Caenorhabditis elegans: one gene and its partners. The protein of the gene in region 4 purifies or fractionates together with the protein of the main gene of each other region. This does not show direct contact. Each region holds a gene or a part of one and is shown on either strand. Other genes may lie near its edges.

What was found.
Region 1: the proteins of pgm-3 (region 4) and Y66D12A.19 fractionate together in Caenorhabditis elegans (co-fractionation; one large-scale study listed by BioGRID). This does not show direct contact.
Region 2: the proteins of pgm-3 (region 4) and Y53F4B.39 fractionate together in Caenorhabditis elegans (co-fractionation; one large-scale study listed by BioGRID). This does not show direct contact.
Region 3: the proteins of pgm-3 (region 4) and pgm-1 fractionate together in Caenorhabditis elegans (co-fractionation; one large-scale study listed by BioGRID). This does not show direct contact.

What each region holds. Positions count from the first base shown.
Region 1 is NC_003281.10:11,507,402-11,511,969, reverse strand, and holds Y66D12A.19 (ArgoN domain-containing protein), read right to left. Parts: upstream 2,890-4,568; 5' UTR 2,844-2,889; coding exon 2,754-2,843; intron 2,710-2,753; coding exon 2,622-2,709; intron 2,568-2,621; coding exon 2,343-2,567; intron 2,290-2,342; coding exon 2,187-2,289; intron 1,408-2,186; coding exon 540-1,407; 3' UTR 503-539; downstream 1-502. Other genes in the region: Serine/threonine-protein kinase spe-6, read right to left, coding at 3,103-3,134, 3,183-3,763.
Region 2 is NC_003280.10:15,108,293-15,116,166, forward strand, and holds the start of Y53F4B.39 (Beta-lactamase-like protein 2 homolog), read left to right. Parts: upstream 1-1,851; 5' UTR 1,852-1,859; coding exon 1,860-1,957; intron 1,958-3,875; coding exon 3,876-4,007; intron 4,008-4,061; coding exon 4,062-4,334; intron 4,335-7,085; coding exon 7,086-7,572; 3' UTR 7,573-7,874. Other genes in the region: wshc-4 (HEPN_LA2681 domain-containing protein), read left to right, coding at 563-716.
Region 3 is NC_003280.10:4,887,731-4,891,939, reverse strand, and holds pgm-1 (phosphoglucomutase (alpha-D-glucose-1,6-bisphosphate-dependent)), read right to left. Parts: upstream 2,504-4,209; 5' UTR 2,498-2,503; coding exon 2,252-2,497; intron 2,199-2,251; coding exon 1,918-2,198; intron 1,871-1,917; coding exon 985-1,870; intron 934-984; coding exon 640-933; 3' UTR 513-639; downstream 1-512. Other genes in the region: gst-9 (putative glutathione S-transferase 9), read right to left, coding at 220-352; R05F9.7 (Serpentine Receptor, class E (Epsilon)), read right to left, coding at 3,729-3,842, 3,887-4,209.
Region 4 is NC_003282.8:8,723,949-8,728,567, reverse strand, and holds pgm-3 (Phosphoacetylglucosamine mutase), read right to left. Parts: upstream 2,847-4,619; 5' UTR 2,845-2,846; coding exon 2,748-2,844; intron 2,693-2,747; coding exon 2,499-2,692; intron 2,453-2,498; coding exon 2,106-2,452; intron 2,062-2,105; coding exon 1,713-2,061; intron 1,637-1,712; coding exon 1,398-1,636; intron 1,334-1,397; coding exon 1,025-1,333; intron 980-1,024; coding exon 862-979; 3' UTR 508-861; downstream 1-507. Other genes in the region: otub-3 (OTU domain-containing protein), read right to left, coding at 1-90; F21D5.9 (C2H2-type domain-containing protein), read right to left, coding at 3,866-3,947, 3,998-4,293, 4,341-4,520.

The DNA of each region.
Region 1 (4,568 bases), on a different chromosome or scaffold from region 4:
TTAAAATTTTTTGTTGAAAAATTTGCAGAAAAATATCGGTTTGGAATTTTTTTTCTAGAATAAAAAATTTAATTTTTCGAATTTTCAAGAACTTTTAGGAAGTTTGCCTTTTTTTGTAAAGTAAAAAAAAAAACAAAATTTAATAGAAAATTGAGTTTTTTAAACATTTTTTTTTTCGTGTTTTTAGGGGAAAAAAATCGAATTTTCTGATTGATTTTCCAATTTTTCGGTAAAAATTATTGTTTTTTTTTTGTTAAAAATGGGGGTTTTTGGGTTTTTCGTGATTTTGGCCGAAAAAACGCTTTTTTTAATCGGAAAAACCTATTTTTACAGCATTTTTTCATTAAAAAATTTTCTTTTTGCAAACATTTGCAAAAGATATCGGTTTTTCGATTTTTTAAATCCTAAAATCGAAAATTTAATTTTTCGAAATATACACCAGCTTTTAGGAAATTTTCCTTTTTCGTAAAGTAAAAAGAAACAAAATTAAAACAAAACGAGACAAAATAATACGGGTATTCATCTTTTTAAGAAATAATTCAATTTTGCCTATTTCGCCAGTTTCCTCCACGAGCAGAGTCATTCTCGCCGCGTCGGCCGCCACCTCCTCCTCCTCTTCCTCGTCGTGATCCTCCTCCGAACCTGCCTCCGACGGTGTTTGAGCCATTGTGAGTTGCGAATTGCGGATTTGCTTGGAACGTAGTCGTCATTGAATTGTGATCGAACACGTTACTTCTGGATCCAAAACTTCCACCGACCACCGTTTTCGGCGCATCTTCAACCTTCAAGTCCTGAGGCAGAGTCCGCGGCGGAAGGGATCGTCCACGCGAAGAAGCATCACGTCTACCGAGAGCTGGCTTTTCTTCTGGAACAGCCGGAAGGAGCACTTCTCTCGTTGAACGGTCACTTCCCCAGGTGGCTCTCGGAGCTCTCGGAGCATCCTGCTTCAAATCCTGAGCCGGCGGCTGAGCCCGCGGGATAGAGCGTCCGCGTGAAGCATCACGTCTACCGAGAGCTGGCTTTTCTTCTGGAACAGTCGGGAGCATTTCCCTCGTTGGACGATCATTTCCCCAAGCGAGGGCGCATTTCGGGGCTTTTAGCTTCAAATCCTGAATCGACGGCGCAGCTCCACGCGAAAAATCCGTTTTTTCGAATGATTTTTCCTTGGAAACAGAATGAGCCACGTGCTCCTTGACAGTCGGCAGCACTGCCATCGTTGGACGACGATCACCGCCGGAGGAGACGAAACGAGCTCCTCCACGTGGTGGCTTGTATTTCGGCGCTCCTGCCGCCGCCGTCGGCTTCTCCTGGTTTTCCTTCTTTTGCTGAATATCAGCTCTCATTACGATCGGCCATAGGGAGTTGGTGATGAAATTGATCATGACTCCACCACCGTTCATGAGCTGGCTGGAAAATAGATTTTGATTAAATAATTGCAGGGTTTAAAGGTGGAAAGTGGGGAAATTGCTTTAAAACACGCCTATAGGGCCACAATGACCGAATATCATGATTTAAAAAATTCAAAAAAAATTTCTAGATTTTATATGATTTTTTGAAAATTGAAAAACTCACAGTTTTCACCTAATTCCTATTTGAATTACCGCCAATTGGATTTGTTCGATTGAGCGCGCTTGCATTATTTTTATCAATTAATTTTATTTATTCTCGTTATTTCACTGATTTTCTATGTTTTTTCATCAGAAAATGAAAGAATAAATAAGAAAAATGCGAAATGTTTGTTAAAAAGTAATTGAAAATGCGTAAAACTGTGAATATATATATATATATACTATTATAATTTCAGTTCCGACGACAACAAGCCTGAAATTAGTATATTTTACAGTTTTACTCATTTTCAATTACTTTTTAACAAACATTTTGCATTTTTCTTGTTTATTTCTTTCATTTTCCGATGAAAAAACACAGAAAAATAAGAAAATCAGTCAAATGACGAGAATAAATAAAATTAATTAATAAAAATAATGCAAGCGCGCTCCACCGAACCTGACGGAAATTCAAAAATAATTAGGTGAAAACTGTTTTTTTCAATTTTCAAAAAATCATATAAAATCTAGAAAATTTTATTCGGTCATTGTGGCCACGGGCGTGTTTTGAAGCAATTTCCCCACTGAGCGTAGTCCACCTTTAAATAATTGCAGATTTTAATGATTTTTTCTTCTAATTACCCAAATTCTTCCTTGAGCTTTGTCTTGTCCTCAGCTGAGAGCTTCCTGCCAAGTTCCAGGCGAATGAACTTGTCACGTGGCGCGTCTGGAAACAATGTGGACTCTGAAAATGGAAATTTAATTATTTTTCCCACATTTCTCAATGAAATCATATACTCGGCTGTTCCTTTAGCACTAGGCGAACAGTGACATTGCGAAAACTATCTCTTCTGGTGATGAATTTGATTTCTGGGTCCTTAGCCCCAGCAGCAGCGTCGGAGGGAAGCATCGAGAGAAGCTTCGGTTTCCTCAATCTCGAGATATACTCAATATCCTTGAGCTCCCTTCTCAGCTTCTCGAATCCCGCCATCACGTTTTGTCCGACGGCAAAGCGGAATAGCACTGGAAAACAAAATCAGAAAAAATTGGATGATTTTAACAAGCTAAAATACAAACTTTCTGTGCTATCCGCATCCAAATTCGCCAGAACTTCCATTTTCAGCAGTCTTTCCTCCAGAAATCGCTTGGGATTCTTTTTGAGATACTGGAAAAAACGGGAAATTTATTAGGTTATTTCGGAAAACTCACATCATCCTCCGGGTTCGCATATTTCAAGCCAGCAAGCTTCAAAGTCTCTGAAAGCGGCATTTTGAAGCCGGTTGGTCGCTCGAACGGCATTTTCGCAGTTTTCTGGAAAAATTTCCGATGAAAACAATGAAAAATTAAAGAAAATTGGGAGAAAAACAGGGGCCGTGGGGGCCCGTAAATCCTGCTACAGTAGTCAGGCGTTGGGTCTCGCCACGATCATGCCGCACCGCTTTTGAATTTTATTCATTTTTATTGATTTTTATTGATATTCCAACAAAAAAAGTGATTTTTAAATTAAAATTCTTTATTTACGAGTAAAAATCGAATAAATGTAGTACAATTTAGTGCTTCACTTCTCCGTTCTCGCAGTTTCGACGTTTTCTGAAATAAATTCAATTTAATCAACGTTTTTTCCATTATTTTTCCAACTTGTACACGATTTCTCCGCACTGAGCGATTTAGAAATTCCCTCTTTTGGTGGCATATCATCAAATTCAATATCCATCGACTCATTCGCATTGTCCTTCGCATCCAACTTCGCCGACGCTTGATGAGATTCTCCGAGTTCCCCGACGAAAATCGCCTTTTGCTGCATTCTCTCATTATTCTGCCAGTCCAAAGGCTCTTTCAGTGTCACTTGATGCTCCGTGGCGGCCTGAGACAGCAAATCACCGAGCTTCTTGTAATTTGGCCTGTCGAAATACGACGTTTGATCCAGAATCGTGAGAATTTCATTAAATTGCTTCGGGACTCCTTCGAAAAACTCGGATCGAAGCGGCTCGCTTCGAATCGCGACTTTCGCCTCTCCAATCTGCTTGTGATTCTTGTGACCGTCGATATTCGCCCATGGAAGTGGTCCCTTGAGCAACTCAATACCCATGTAAAACCAGCTTTCCAAGTCGTCCCGTGCACATTGGTCCTTGTGAGAGTGGGCAGAAACTGCACAATATTGAAAAGTTCCCATCAGTGCTGCAGCGGTTCTCGGCGGGATGATTTTGCCCTCCTTGTCTCTGAAAATTGTCAGTTTTTGGCTGGAATTCTAGCTCTTGACTAGATTATCCTATAATAGCTACTTCAAAAATTGTTTATCAGTTTTCCATGTCCAAAAAAAAATCGAAATTTTAAGATTTTTTTTCCGATAATTCGAAAAAAAAAATCCGATTTTTCGAGAAATACACAGATTTGTGCCGAACTAGGCCATTTTGGCTCAGCCATATCTAGATATCTAGATATGGCTGAGCCAAAATGGCCTAATTCGGCACAAACTCTTCCATTTCAATTTACGAGGGAAGCCAGAAATCTGTTCTCGAAAAATCGGATTTTTTTTCGAATTTTCGGAGAAAAAATCGGAAATTTTCGATTTTATATATATCGTCGTCTGGGTAGATTTACGGCGCGTTGCGTGTCGCGTCGCGGCTCGATTGTAAAACTAAACGCAGTTGTCCGTGTGGAGTACACGACACTTTCCCACGCGTTGTCTCCGGCAGGCGATTCTCAATGGAGCGCTAAAAATTCAATGAGCAAGGCCAAAACCCCGTGAAATAGCCTAAAAGTTTGGGCATTTTTCACGGGGTTCTGGCCTTCCTCATTGAATTTTTGCGCTCCATTGATAATCGCCCGCCGGACAATGCGTGGAAATATGTCGTGTACTCCACGCGGACAAATACATTAAGTATTACAACTAAAAACGAGCCGCGACGCGACACGCAACGCGCGGTAAATCTACCCCAGATATGGCCGAACCAAAATGGCCTAGTTCGGCAAACTCTTCCATTTCAATTCATGAGGGAAGCCAGAAATCCGTGACTTTTTCCC
Region 2 (7,874 bases), on a different chromosome or scaffold from region 4:
TAAATTCCGGAGATTAAAGATTTCTGACAAATTTTCCAAATTGCCGAAATCGATTTCCGGAAAATCGAAAATTTGCCGAATTTTTTTCAGACAAATTTCTTAAAATCCCAGTTTTTTTTTTTAATTTTCGAGAAAAAAGCCTGAAATTGTATGAAATTTATTTTTTCTTACAATTAGAAAAATTTTAAAATAAGTTTTTTAACGAAAAAGCTTAAAAATTCTGTAAATCTTATAAAAGCACAGTTTTTTGTTGAAATTTTCAAAATTTTAAAATTCTGAAAAAAAATTTCTTAATATTTTGAACAGGAAATCTGGAAAATCTGAAGTTCTAAAAAAATTTACAAATTATTTTTTCGCCAATTTTCAAAAATTGCAATTTATACTTACTTTTCTTGGTAAAACCAATATTAAATTGCGGGAAGAAATGAGCTTTATAAAAAATTCCGAATTTCTCTCAAATTAGTAAAAATTCCAACAAAAAATGTTTTTTTGAAATTTTTGAAAACATTTTTTCAAAAATATTTTTTTTTTTAAATTCTCAATTCTACCTTCCTATTTTCAGCACAAAAGAGCACGAAATTCGTTCACAATCGGAAAGCCGCGAGTACAGTCAGGCAGTACAGTTGAAAATCGAACGACTTCAGACGGAGCTCAAAATTCTCACAAATTTCAAAATGAATTTCGGCATTCAGCACACCATTTTCACGATGAATTAGGTCAAACTACAGTATCCCCCCCCCCCCCCTCACAAATCGTTGCGGGACCCACATTTTTGCTCAAAATTTCATTTTTCTACCGTCTAACACTTGACTTTTTTTCCCCATAATACCGATTTGTTCGTTTCTGTTGTTATCAAATGCTACAGTCTAGCCACATTTTCTCATTTTACTCCCCTTATATTTGTAAAATTGTTTAGTTTGTTTTTTTTTCGCCTGGAAATCGATTTTTTTGCGAATAGTTGAAAAATTTTGGAAAATTTAGAAAAATTCAGAAATTTTAGTTTTTAGTAATTTTTTTAAAAACTTTTTCAGTCAAAAATACTGAAATTTCCGGAATTTCAAAAAAAAATTATAGAAAAGTTTCTTAAAATTATAGCGTTTTGTTGAAATTCCCGATAAAATTGGTAAATCCTGGAAATTCTAAAAATTAAATTTTTTATCCAAAAAATTCAGCTAAACAGAAAATTGTTTGAACTTTTTAATTAAAAATTCCCGATTTTACAGAAAAAGTCAAAAATTTTGAAAAATCGTGAAAATTCTAAAAATTCGATTTTTTTATCGAACATTTTTTTGAGAATCCCAAAAAAACTGAAAAAAATAAAAATTTTAATTAAAAATTTCAGATTTTAGCGAAAATTCTCAAAAATTTTGGAAAAATAGAAAAAATTTCAACTTTTTGATTAAAACTCCCAGATTTTTGCAAAAATTCTCAAAATTTTGGAAAAAAAACTGAATTTTTTCTCCAAAAAATCCTATTTTTGTTAAAATTCTCGAAATTTTTCGGAAAAATCCTAAAATTTCCAATTTTTATCCAAATTTCCATAAAAATCGATTTCCAGCGACTTTTTATCATTACCTAGTTTTTAGTTTTTTTTTGTTTTGAATATTTTTTTCTTTTTTTTCCTCAGCTCCCAATTTTTAAAAACTATTTTAATTTAATATCGTCAATCCTCTCCTGTCACCATTGTTAATGTTTTTTTTTGAAATTTTAATTAAATTTCTACCATTTTTAATCCATTTTTCTCTATCCGATCGATTTTCCATGAAAATTGGTCCTAAAACGACCTAATGACCTATATTTCTGAATCACCCAGAGGCGGGGGCGGAAACATAGATGAGTATCTCGTAATTCAGAACACGATGACGGCGTACGTTGGACGAGCCTGGACGATGCTTCGTTTTTATACGGATTTCGCATACGCCGGTGTTGCCTATTTGGTTAATTCAAAGGCACATAGGTTGGTTTGTAATTCGGGGTCTTGGCGCGAAAGTTTTTTTTTTCAAAATTTCGGCTTTTTGTGTCGATTTACGAGCTTTTCCAGGCTTTCTCGACGATTTTTTTTTTGAATTTTCATAATTTCGGTTTTGTGCCGATTTACGAGAATGACAAAGAAAATTAGGAATTTCAGCTCTTTGTGTAGTTTTACTAGCTCATTAATTCTTTGGTAAATTTTGCCTCTTTGTGTCGATGTACGAGCTTTTTCAGGATTTTTCCACGAATTTTTTTTTGATCTTTTTCCTGAATTTTCGAAATTTCGGTTTTCTGTCGATTTACGAGAATAGTAGAAAATTAGAAATTCCGGCTTTTTGTGTCGATTTACGAGCTTGTGTTCAGTTATTTTTTAAATTCAAGTCAAAATTTCGGATGCCAGTGTAGATTTACGAGCTCATTTTTTGGTGAATTCTGACTGCTTGTGTCGATTTACGAGGTTTTTTCTGACTTTTAGAAATTGTTGTGTTAATTGATAATATTTTTAAATTATTCAATTTTTAAATAAATAATTTAATTCCTAAATTCTGAAAAAAACCAGTGCTCGTAAATCGACACAGAGATGCGTAAATCTACAATGCCATGATTAAAAAAAAACTATTTTCCAGGATGTATGATATTGTTTCTCATGAATCTGAGAAAAATTGAAAAAAAATTCCGCTCGTAAATCGACATCCAGCTGCGTAAACCTACAATGATACCAAAATTTGTTCCCTAATAAAGACATTTTTTTTTCTGAATTTTCTCTGAATTTTTTAAGAAGACTACTTTTTTTTGAATATTTATTAGTTTTAGGGGGCTTTAAAAAATTTTTAACAAACATTGTAAATTGCCGATTTGCCGGAAATTTTCAATTCCGGCAATTTGCCGGTTTGCCGGAAATTTTCAATTCCGGCAATATACTGATTTGCCGGAAAATTTCAATTCCCGCAATTTGCCGATTTGCCGGAAATTTTCAATTCCGGCAATTTGCCTTTTTGCCGGAAATTTTCAATTCTGGCAATATACTGATTTGCCGGAAAATTTCAATTCCCGCAATTTGCCGATTTGCCGGAAATTTTCAATTCCGGCAATTTGCCTTTTTGCCGGAAATTTTCAATTCTGGCAATTTGCCGGTTTGCCGGAAATTTTCAATTCCCGCAATTTGCCGATTTGCCAGAAATTGCATTGTACTATACAATTGCATTATCAATACATTCTGACTTATCGCCCAAGTCACAAAATTGCAAAATTCCATTGGCTGACACCTAGAAATTGGCAAACATCATCATTTAAGTGTAGCCAACTGACTACAGTGTTCCGAAAATAAGGGAAATTTAGAAAGAGAGAGAGAGATAGACGAAACAAGTCACAGAACGATTATCGATCACTTTTCAGTTGGTTTTCTTTAATTCTTCATAGTTTCCCATTTGAAACAATGTCTCGAAATTCAGTAATTTTTCCGGAAAAAAAGTTAAATCAAATTGGTTGTAAAGTTTTGTATTATTTAAAAAAATTGTGCATTTATTAACAATCAGAACCTGTAAAAGTTGGCAAAAATTGAAAAAAAAGTCTCCGTAAATCGACAGCTAGCTGCGTAAAACAACACTGATTGGAGTAGATTTAGACTAGATTATGACTAGATTTAGGAATTAAAGAATTAAATTATTTAAAATATATCGAAATAACCGAAACTAAAACTGAAATCTATTGCGCAACATAATTGACGCGCAAAATATCTCGTTGCGAAAACTACAGTATCTCTTTAACTGACTAATGTAGCGCTGGTTTTGATTTTCGGGCAATTGCAGTTTCGAATTTACTCTGCAAAAAAAATCACAAATTTTGCATAAAGCACTACACTTTTTTCAAAACTTCTCTGAAAATCTCGAAATTCTTTTTTTCAGAGCCATGCCAAGCCTCACTCACGTGGAGCCCATCGAGAAGCTCTCCGACGCGGTCACCAGAATTCTCGGCCACAATCCCGGCCCCTTCACTCTTCAAGGAACTAATACATATCTACTGGGCACTGGTGCAAAGTAGGCAGCAATATTCTGAAAATTTTTAATTTCTAATCAAATTTTTTCTTTCAGAAAAATCCTCGTGGACACTGGTGAGCCGAACGTCACCGAGTACATTTCGGCACTGAAATCAGTTCTCGCATCTACGAATTCCCACATTGAATATATCGTTATTACGCATTGGCATGGCGATCATGTTGGTGGAATCGATAATATTACTGATGAGATTTTGGATAAAAAGAAGATACCTATTTATAAAATGAAACGGGACAAGGATGAGGGTGTCGAGAGATTTCATTATGTTGACGATGGGTTTGAGGTTGCAGTTGATGGAGCCACGCTGAAGTGAGCATTTATCATTAGAGAATTGGTTTTATTAGAAAAAAACCGTAGTAGTACTGTAGGGATACTGTAGTTCCGCTGTAGGTGCACTGTAGGTATGTACTGTAGCATTAAGGAGGACTAACGGTTCGGACGATTTTGACCGTATAGACCCAAAATGAGCTCAAATGAACGAATTTCGTAATGAAACTGCTCAAAACAATTTTCAAAAATTTTTTATGGCGTTTCAAAATTTTGAAAAAATTGAAAAAATGAATTATCGTCCTTTATTACATATATTGGTAATTAATCTCATTTAATTTCGTCGATTAAGGTACATTTAAAGCCGTTAGGTAACCAAAAATCATCGAAATTGGTTACCTATCGGCTTTAAATGTACTTTAATCCACGAAATTAAATGAGATTAATTGCCAATATATGCAATAAAGGACGATAATTCCAAAAAATCCAACTTCGGACAGATGTGACACGAAAAAATGGGAAAAACTCATGATTTTAGGTAAAATCAGTGTAATTTTTTCAAAATTTTGAACCGCCATAAAAAATGTTTGAAAATTGTTTTGAGCAGTTTCATTACGAAATTCGTTCATTTGAGCTCAATTTGGGTCTATACGTTCAAAATCGTTCGAACCGTTAGTCCTCCTTTAGTAGTACTATAGTGATAGTGTAGGGTTACTGTAGGTATATTATAGGAGTACTGTAATAGTGCCGTAGGGGCACTCTAGTAGTACTATATGGGTAGTGAAGGAGTTTTGTAGAGGTACTGTAGGTATATTTCGGTTGTACTGTAGTAGTATTATAGGGTTACTGTAGGAGTACTTCAGGGGTACTGTAGTGATATTGGGAGGGGTGGGTACTGAAGTAGTGATATTGGGGTACTGTAGTAGTACTGTATTTCTAGAAACAAATTAATTGTGTCTTTTTAAATGAGTAGTGTTGTAGGGGGTACTGCTAGAAATCGATTTTTTGTTGTGAAAATTTGGAAAAAATTGGAATTTTCTGAAATTTCAAATTAAATGCAATTTCAGTTACCATCTGTTATTTTTAAGAATTTTTGATTTTAAATTCCTTTGAAATTTTCTATATTATTTTTTTTTCCGGGACGATTTTTTAAATTCCTAATTTTTGTCGAAAATCTCCGAAAATAATAAGGAAAAAACCTTAACAATTAATGTTCCTCAAAAAATACCTTGAAATCTCAGTTTTTTGTTGAAATTCTCAAAAAAAAAAAGGATCCATATTTTTTTTCAAAAAGGAATTTATGAATACAAAATTTTTTGAACGTTTGTTCCAAAAAAATGTGTTAGTACAGTAGTGCCGTAATGGTAGCAATACTGTAGTAGTAGTAGTACTGTAGGGGTAATGTAGGGACATTGTAGTAGTATTATAGGGGTACTGTAGTGGTACTACGGAGGTACTGTAGAAGTTCCGAAGGTGTGCTGCATTAGTACTGTAGGGGTACAGTAGTACAGTAGTACTGTAAGTGTACTGGTACTATAGCTATTTTGTACGTGTACTGTAGGTATATTGTAGTTGCACTATAGTATTATTATAGGGGGTACTGTAGTGGTATTGTACAAGGCTGGGATTTTTTTTTGAATTTTTTTGCCATTGTAACGAAAAATTGATTTTTTTGTTTGTTTTTTTAAGACCGAAAAACCAAAAAAAAATGCATTTTTCACGGTAAAAAAATTAATTCAAGTATCAAATTTTTTGTTGGTTTTTTTTTGATTTTTCCCAAATTTCAATTTTTCTTGGTCCAAAATCAAAACGAAACACTTATTGTTTTTTGATCCCAGCCCTGAAACTGTGGTATTAACTGTAGTAGCATAGCTCTTTTTCAAAAAAATTGAATTGCCATGAGAAATTTTTTTTTGGAAATTTCAAGATATATCAATTTAGCCTTTCTTCGAGTTATTTTAAAAGTGGTGTAGTCGAATTTTTTTAAATTTCTTTATTGGACTCAAAATTGTCTGAAAACACCGAATTTCATAATGAAACTTCTTGAAAACTTTTCAAAAAAAAGTTATGGCCTCTTGAAAAATGGCCTAAAATTAGTGAAAATTTGAAATTTGACCGACTTATCATTGTCGCAGCGGCTGGAAACAATTTTTTTTTGAAATTGTCGTCTAATTTTGGGTATACAGGTCGATTATCTTGCATTTTCAGCTTTATTAAGGTATTTGAAAGTCGATGGACGAAGAGAATTGATGAAAAAAATTTGACAAATCTCTTCGTCCATCGACTTTCAAATACCTTAATAAAGCTGAAAACGCAAGATAATCGACCTGTATAGCCAAAATTAGACGACAATTTCAAAAAAAAATTGTTTCCAGCCGCTGCGACAATGATAAGTCGGTCAAATTTCAAATTTTCACTAATTTTAGGCCATTTTTCAAGAGGCCATAACTTTTTTTTGAAAAGTTTTCAAGAAGTTTCATTATGAAATTCGGTGTTTTCAGACAATTTTGAGTCCAATAAAGAAATTAAAAAAAATTCGACTACACCACCTTTAAAATAACTCGAAGAAAGGCTAAATTGATATATCTTGAAATTTCCAAAAAAAAATTTCTCATGGCAATTCAATTTTTTGAAAAAGAGCTATGCTACTACAGTTAATACCACAGTTTCAGGGCTGGGATCAAAAAACAAAAATTCGGTGTTTTCAGACAATTTTGAGTCCAATAAAGAAATTAAAAAAAATTCGACTACACCACCTTTAAGCTAGTCCATCTTTAAACATTAAATTTCCAGACTAATCGCCACTCCAGGCCACACCGCCGATCACTTCTCTCTGTGGCTCCAAGAGGAACGAGCATTGTTCAGTGGAGACTGCATCCTCGGCGAGGGAACTACCGTCTTCGAGGATCTTCATGACTATATGACTTCACTGCAAAAGATCAAGGATCTCAATGCGACAAGGATTTATCCGGGTCATGGTCCGGTTATCGATAAGGTCGTGGAGAAGGTTGACGAGTACATCGAGCACCGAATGAAACGAGAACGCGAGATTATCAAAGTGCTCAAAGAGCACGAGGAGATCACCAGTATGGATGTGACTAATCAGGTTTATGCTGACTCGCCGTGGGCTGTACGACTGGCTGCGTTGAACAATGTGAAGCTCGTGCTGAAGAAGCTTTGCAAGGATGGAGTCGTTGAGAATCCGCATTTTGAGACTTTCAAGTGGATTGGAGGCAGTAGTAGTGGAGAGGAGAAGAAGAATGAATCGTCGAATTTGTAGAAAAAAAAAATTATTTTTTGGAATTTTAAATATTTAATTCGCTCTTTATGTGTTTTCAAAATGTAGAATTTACGATGTTAATTCGAACTTTTCATAGATTAAATTTAAGTTTTAACCTACCTATATTTGAGAATTCCAAAAAATCTCGAAAATATTCATTTTTTAAATTCGAAAACCATATTTTTTCGAATTAAAAAATTCAAACTTCTGGAAAAAATTTGAAATTTTTAATTTTTTTTGTTTGATTTTTCAAAAAATTTCCGGAAAATTAATTTCAGTACCAATTTTTTCAAAATTTCGAG
Region 3 (4,209 bases), on a different chromosome or scaffold from region 4:
TCAGTAGAAAATCGAATTGAATTTATTTAATAATGTGGAAAAATCGAATAAAATTGTAAAATGGGTTACTGTACTGCTTAAAGGCACACCTTAATCTTTATGTGAGGATATTTTGTTCGTGGCGGGATACCACTTAAAAACTGAAGCATTTCGCTACATTGTAATTAATCAACTTTTTAAACTGAGGATTTCATTCTAAAATGCAACTTTTGAACTTACTATTTTTAATTTCTGCCCACTGCTCTTTAGAAATACGCTCATCAATAAATTCTTGGCCGGCAAAAGCGAAAACTTGACGAGCGATTTCTCCATTTCCACGAGATTGAAAATAAATTAGTTTATAGGAAACCATTTTTCAGAATAAAATGAAGAATTCGTCACAATCTGGCGCTTTTGAACCCTTCGCTCTCAGTGTCTGCGTTTCTCATTTCTCACTAAATCGACATCAGAAAACCACAAACATCAACTTTTTTTTCCAAAAACCAACATTGATGTATTTCACAATATTCTCATAAGTTTTCAAATTTTCATTCAACTTTTCGTTTACGTGCAACATAAAATTATATAAACCGAGGAAAATCTACACATAATTATTTAGCTAAACTCATGCAATATATAAATCATTTTTAAATACTAAAATTATGTGATAACAGTTGGAGCCTTGCGATTAGTGAACTGCTCCATTTTGCAAGTATCAAGTGCAATCAACACCAATGGTTTGAGCAATTCGTGAGCTGGAAGTAGAAGGCGAGAAGTGTCATTTGAAGGAATGTACGAATCAACGTAGAGACGGATGGTAGCACCGGCAGATCCTGTTCCAGAGAGTCGGAATACCAATCGAGATCCATCTTCGAAGACAATTCGGAGTCCTTGTTTGGTTGCAACTGAACCATCCACTGGATCAGTATATTGGAAATTGTCAGCGACAGCAACCTGGAAATAGTATTTTTTAGAAAAAATAAATCTTTTCGAACTTTCTCTCACCTTATATGTAACCCCATTTGCCGAGAAATCTCTTCCAACAAATGCTGGCAATTGAGCTTCAAGGAAAGTCATCAACAAGTTGGCACCAGCTGCATCCACATTCTCATAGTCGTAACGAGTGAACACATTTCTTCCATATTTCTGCCAATGCTTCGTCACAATTTCCTCGACGGATTCTTTTCGGTCTGCGAGAATTTGAAGCCATGCAAGAAGTGCCCAAACGCCATCCTTCTCACGAATGTGATCAGATCCAGTTCCGAATGATTCTTCTCCACAAATAGCAATTCTTCCAGCATCCATAAGATTTCCAAAGTACTTCCAACCGGTCGGTGTCTCATACACTTGAAGTCCCTTTGCCTTGGCAACCAAATCAACAGCTCCAGCAGTTGGCATTGAACGAGCAAAACCAGCAACCTTACGAGTCTTGAAATATGGAATATAATCAATGTTATCAGCAATAACAGCTAAAGAATCACTGGGGCAAACGAAGAAGCCATTCTTTCCAAGAATCATATTACGATCACCATCTCCATCAAATGCAGCTCCTAAATCGTGTTCTCCGGTGTGGAGGCGTTCAACAAGAGTTTTTGCGTAGGTGAGATTTGGATCTGGATGACCTCCACCGAAATCTGGCTTTGGAACAGTTCTCAAAAGATCAGAAGGATCAGCTCCAAGATGATCGACAAGAATTGTAGAGATGTATGGTCCAGTTGCTCCGTGCATCGAATCAAGTAAAACTCTGAGTTTGCGTCCAGTAAGTTCACCAGCGAGAAGGGATTTGATTTTTGGGAAATCAAAGATTTTCTGCATGAGGTTGATGTATTCGGTAACTGAATCAATGACGTCAACGACAAAGTGACCAACTCCCTCAATATCATATTCATATCTGAAAATTAATGTACATCAATGTAATCAAAATATTGATGTGTTTACCTTCCAACTTGTGTAAAATCGCATTCTAAATCCTTGGCAATCAAGTATTTATCGATTTTAGTTGTGATCTGATAAATGGCATCAGTGACTTGATCTGGAGCAGGTCCACCATTTTCGCAGTTGAATTTGATTCCAAAATCTCCCTTTGGACCTCCTGGATTGTGACTAGCAGTGAGAATTATTCCTCCATCAACAACACGACCTTCGTGTCCTTTTCTGATAAGATTCGAGAGAGCTGGCGTCGACAAGAAACCGTTTTGACCGACGATAAGACGGGAAAGCTGAAAAACTCAAATTTATAAAAAAATTACTAAAATTTCTCAATATTTCTTACCCCATTGGCTGCTGCAATTTTAATAATCACATTTGTGGCTTCCATCGAAAGAAACCGTCCATCTCCACCAACAACCAACTGAGAACCCTTCTTTTTCGATCCAAGACCAGCATCCAAAATTGCTTGAACAAAGTTTTCCGTGTAATTCTGCTGCTGGAATTCCGGAACCCGTTTGCGAAGACCAGATGTTCCGGGTTTCTGTCCTGCGAATGGTTTTGTGGGGGTTTCAACGACGGCGATTCCCATTTTAGGCTGAAAATAAATATTATAGATCAGAAAATAAAATGGACTGACTATGAGAAAAGAGAAAATAGTAAACAGAAAATGATCGCTTCGTATCTTATCACGAAAGTCAAGTGGTTGGTCAATGTTCAGTGATAGTAAACATAGAAAAATGAATAACTTTAGAAATGGGCCGACCTAAAATGTGCTCGAACTCTTCTGGGATAACTTTTGACCTCAAATGCAACTTTTAAATGGGGTTTTTAAAGTCCAGGTAGACAGACATGTTAAGAACACGAAGAATTTATTTATCTTCTGGTGGGTGGGCAGGAATAGTTCAGATTTCGCAGCGAAAAAAGAAAAGAAATGCCAGCTGCAGTTGTTGGCGCCAAAGGAGAGCACCCACACAAACAGAGAGTTCAGAGAAATAGAGAGCAACAAAATACGTGTAGAAATGGAACAACTGCTGCTGTTCATCAAAAAAGATAAAGAAAAATGAAAAGAAATCAATGAGCGAAAAAAAATTTATCTTCTTTATACTCTCTTTCGAAAATTCGAGACGCCCCCTATTGCTTATCAAGGTTTTCATCGCTACAAACTATTGAATATATTGTGTCGAACACAAAAACAACGAAATTTCGGGAAAAAGAACGATACAAATGGTGAATACCGCGCGCGCATTTCGAGTAATTTGTTTTTTTCAAACAAAATTTCAATAATGGTATGCGGTAATTAAAATCGCTGCGATACTGACAAACACTTTTTTCCTTCTGTGCCTTTAAACCGACCGTAATTAATAAAAAACTTTTTTTTGATAGTAACCGAATGAAATTTGGAGAAAATATTGATAAGTATTTAAGAAAAACTCAACTTTTTATTGAAACAAAATGACTCGCTTTTTGTTTTTTAAACGAATTCCGATTGTAGGTTAAGGTAGTTAAAATCGTTGCGGAGCACACGAAAACTTATTCATGCTGCGCCTTTAATTCTACCGTGGTTAATGTTTCACTTTAATGAAATTTTTCAAAAAACCAAAAACAGTTTTTTACCCAAAAATTATATGAATAAAAGAATCTAAATTATTTATAAAAACAAAGTGACGCTCTCACTAAAAATAAAACAACGGACTTTGTGCTGTTTTTGTTTTGTGCTGGAAGAATCACTGAAGAATAAAACATGTTTAAAAAACACAAATGTTTCTAATGTAACATTTTATAACAAAACTTCAAAGTAATATTTCCAAAAATCATATGAATCATCGCCAAGATGTTTGAAATTGATCGAAATATGATTTTGTAACGTCTTCAAATACAGTAATCGGGTTCACCTGACGGTCATCGCGTCTCTTATTCAAACAATGGATTTTCCCCTGAAAATATATAATGAAAATCTGAAAAATTGATAAAAACCTACAGAAAATGGCATATCTCTAGTTTTCCGTAAATGTAAAACGCAAACGGAAGGAATTAGAATTGCACCAAGTGCCAAATTAATATCAAAAAGTGAAATCATAACTTGACCCGAATATGTTTTTGAACCCAGATATACTCTAGGAACTACAATAAATATAATAACAAAAAATATGAGAAAAACCAACATGGAGCTCATAACTTGCAGATATTTAATAATTTTCACATTTTCTTCAACTTGAAACTTCTTGCTCAATGTATAATTTACATTTTTCATTTTCCGAAGATTCTCAGCTTTCCATGATAATCTCTTGGATTCTTGTACAT
Region 4 (4,619 bases):
TGATTTTGGTGATGATTCCCTCTTTTTAGTGGGAGTATGTTCATCATCCGGGGCCAAATAGGTTCTGTTTCGTTTTGGTGTGCCCGACATAATGAATAATGGGAATTTGTAGAAAAATGCGAAGAAGTAAGTGAAAGACTACGGAACTGGTTGATTGAAAACTATCAAGAACATTTAAAAAACATCCGCATAGTTTTCAGTATTGGCGGGTAGATCAAAAAAAATGTTTGGTTGTACATTTCAAGTCTACTTGAAATATTTTTCTCTTTTAATGTCAAAATTACCTCTCAACTCTTTCTTTTCACGCCGATGCCGTGCTAGGATCGGATTTTCTTCATCCTGCTCACCATCCGACGACATTTTTAAATCGATTGAAAATTTGTTTTGCGGTCTTAAAATTAGGAAAATGTTTCCATGGAAATTTCCACAAACGAAAATTTCATAACGAAAGTACAAAAGAAATTGTAGACTTCTTATTGAACAACGAGCTAGAATACCCATGATTTTATATCGAAACATTCATTTTTACTCAAGATGAAGTCTCAAAACGAGAATCTTCAATTCGTCATCACTCTGTTATCTAGTTATCACAATTTTTCAATATATTTTAAAGCATAGGGGAAAGGGCCAATGATGTGTTTTAATGAAACCAGGAATTTACTTTAAAACCGTTGAAAGTTGATATAGGGAAATGGGGAAACCAGTAGAAACTCATAAATGAATTTTAACAAATAAATATGGGAATATGAAAGGGAAAAATTTAAAAAAAACTTTGGGAGATTATGCTGAAAATGACTAAACTGAAGGGATGAATAAAAATACATTGTGAAAACTCGAGACTACATATGGAATTTATTTTCTTCAGTTCGAGTTGCAAAGGTTGAGAACGACTTGTTCGAGAGATTTTCCGAGTTGCAATGTATTTTCAACAGTATCCGCTTCAGCGTATACGCGAACAATGTTCTCGGTGCCAGATGGTCTGAAATCGATTTGAATATGAAACAAAAACTTCAGATAAGATTACCTGATGAAAGCTCTCGAATTATTGTACTTTGCAACATCCGTATCAATCATTTTTTGAATTCCAACAGGTTTCACAAGAGTTTGCTCGGCGTTCGTCGTTTTGAAAATGGAACGATCAATAACTGGAACTTTGATCTGCACATTCGGAACATCTCGATACAGTTTTTCGGCCCAGTCATCCATAGACCATCCATAGTGACGGAGAACAGCTTCCACGGCAAGCAAATCTGCAAAAGCATCCCCAACAGTTTCATTGATGACACGGGAGAAAAGTGCTAGACGACGGAGAGGTAATGATTCAGTTGGAGTTCTGAAACAATTCATTTCTATATTTGAAAAAAAAGAAATTTATGAAGCTGTTTAGTCTCCTATACCTTCTGATGATGCGGTCGAAAATCTCGCTGAAAACAACAGTTCCGTGTCCGTTGGCCTCGAAATAAATTCCAATGTCGAACTCAGAAGCAGCTTCATGCAGATGCTTGACTCCAGTAGGTACAATAATTGGCTCAATACCCAACTTTTCACGAATGTAGCGTGTTGAACTTCCATTCGCATATGCTGTTTGAACAATACCAAGGCGGAGACGTTCCATCGGAGTGGAATTTTCGTAATCCTAGAATGATGCATCATTGAAAACTTCACACTCAGTTTATTCATAATTTGATAACTATTATTTTGAAATAAATCACCTTCAGTTGCTCCCGAATGTATGTGACAATCAGAACTGCAATTTTGTCACCGTCGAACAGCTCAGCATCGTTTGATTCCGAATTTTCTGAAGCCTTTGCACGGAAGTACATCAAGCGATCGGCATCTCCATCAAATGAAGCACATTTTGGTTCTGCTGCTGTCGGTGAGAAGTTTGCTGGTAACTTTTGCGAAATCTTAACGAAATCGGCACCACATCCCTGATTCAGTTCTTCCGATTCATTACGAAATTCAACTTCCAGAAGTGATGATGGGATTCGCTCAAGAAGATTTCTGAACCGTGGAGCACCGACTCCGTTTGCGCAATCGACAATGACTTTTGGTTGATATCTGAAGAATACTTTTTTAATGGCAAGTTTTTCTCTGAACCGTACCTCGAGTCTTTGGGTTCCTCAGTTATTTCATACAGCTTCTTGAACGAATCGGCGATTGCAGAATAATATCCATCGTGAGTTGGCTCTGCGAATTTTGGCTCGTTGAATGCCTTGACAGCATAATGAAGCATTGGAGTCGACACAACACCGATATCATCGAATTGTACATTGAATAACGCTGCACCGGCTCTTGCTGCATTCATCAGACAAGGACCAGAGCAACGTGTGTCCATACCACAAACGACACGGGAAAGTTGGGTCTTTCCGACTGAAATTTGTTTTTCAAGAGCTCGAACTGCGGCTGGGAGCTCGGCATCAGTAGCATTCACAACTTCAGTCGCGTATATCTGTAGAAAAAAGGTTTCTGTGCGTTTTTTATTTATTTTCACTAACCTCCCACTGCTCATTGAGCATATCGCCACTTGGATCCACTAATTTCACACCATTGTCACATGATGGATTGTGTGAAGCTGTAATCATCACTCCGATAGCTGAGTTGAGCTGCCGCGCACGAAGACTCGCAACGTAAGCACACCGGAAGACGATGAATGGAAGCTTCTCGGACTTGAATCGGAATCCAGCAGTTCCTGAAATAGCAAACTTTGAAAATGATAAAAGAAAATATTTTATTTTTAGTCGTACCATACGAGAATTTCTCATCGTCTTGAATGGCATGCACATTACCGCTGTGAGTTGTGTTACCGGCACGTGAATATTCAACTGGAACAGTGAGATCCATTTCTGAAAAAAATTTGGATTTCGAATTTTAAATACGTAGAGAAATAAGTCGACAGAACCAATAAAATGTATTAAATCAGATGAATCTAAACTACATGTTGATTTACGGCGCTAAACAACGCCCAAGACGTTATTTCGGAGCGTTGTGCGGAAAAGAGTTCTAAACGCGTTTTTCCTTTCCCACCAGAAAGTAAAAACGTTAAATAAACGAGTATATTGATCATAACAGGGCGTGTTAATGAAAAATGATGATGAAGTAATAAACGTTCAACTGATAACAAGCGGAAACAAAAGGTATGATTATATTCACACTGAGACCAGAAACAATGTTTTGAAAAAAGAACATGGAATTGAAAAATGTCGGTGCTGTATGTGTTTTATTTTCTCATGGAAAATGTTTAACAGGACGCGGGAAACAAAGATCAAACTTGTAGATCGTAATTTATGATTCAGATTAAGAAAGTTTCGCTAAATACTAAAATAGTTTTCTAGTATAGTTTTATTACTCTTTTGAATAATTTTTAGAGCTGAACGGAATATATGGTGTTTCTTTAAAAAGTATAATTAGGAAAAAAAATGAACTAACATTTCGATGGTACGGTTTCCAGGCGCGCACTGTTGCGTGAGTTCCGGGTCTCACAGCGATCATGAGCACTGTAGAAATTTTCAGGCCTATTCATGATTGAGGCCTTATTGTGGCTGAAAACTCATTTTTGTTAGAAAAAAATTCAGTTGGAATCATCCGTCCACTAAAATTATTTTTTCTAGAATTATTCCTTTCTCGATGAAAATTGTTCGAAGAACAGCATTGGTCTACCACATCTTGTAAAAAATTGGAAAAAAAAGTATATCAATAAGATTTTTCATTGAAAAGAGGAAATTCTAGGAAAAAAATTATTGCAAGAAAGAGAAAAGACAGAAAAAGAGAAATCACTGGAAAAACGTTTTGAGACAAATAATAAATATTAAGTAGCTAAATAATAAAATTCTCGGAGAAAAAAAAGGAAAAGTTATTTTGTTTCTTATTGACGAAGATCCGATTTTCTCTTGAACTTGCTCTTTCGATGATTGTTACGCATATGTTGTACTAAGTCACCAGTCAGTCTGAAATCAAGAAAATTGGATTCCAGAACCAAGAGCTTTGTAGTATTTACCTGAAAACTGCTCCACATACAGCACAACAATTTTCATTAACCAAAGAACTGCCAAGAGCATTAGCCACAAGTGGATTGTTCATTGTAGAAGGTACAGTAACCCCAGAGCTTGATGACGTGGAAGAGGAGGAACTGGTTGATGTGGTTGCACGGGGTTGCTGGACACGTGGAAGAGGTACAGTAATCGGTGCTGGTGAAGCATGGCATAATGTGGAAATGAATTGGCGGCGTGCAAACTCTTCCATTTGACGTTGTTGTTGAAGGCGAATCATTAGGGGTGCAAGTTGAAGATAATTCTGAAAAATATTATTTGTGCATTTGGTACAGTACTTGGATATATTACTTGAAAAACTTGGGGAAACTGAATTTGTGCAGTCTTGGAAGTGCAATCAAGAGGTGTCTCGTCTGGAGATTCTTCATCTTGAGTCTGTAGGTTTGTTCCAGGATCTTCCCGGTTTTCAGACACTTCTGAAACTGCGGGATTCCAGATTCGAAACTTTTTTGCCATTGGACCATCTGCCATTCTTAGTTGAAAAAATGACGTTGCAATCCTAAAACAGGAATTTCAAAAAACATTTCTTAGGTATTTAAAATATTTCGAATGGAAAAGCACCTAGAATTC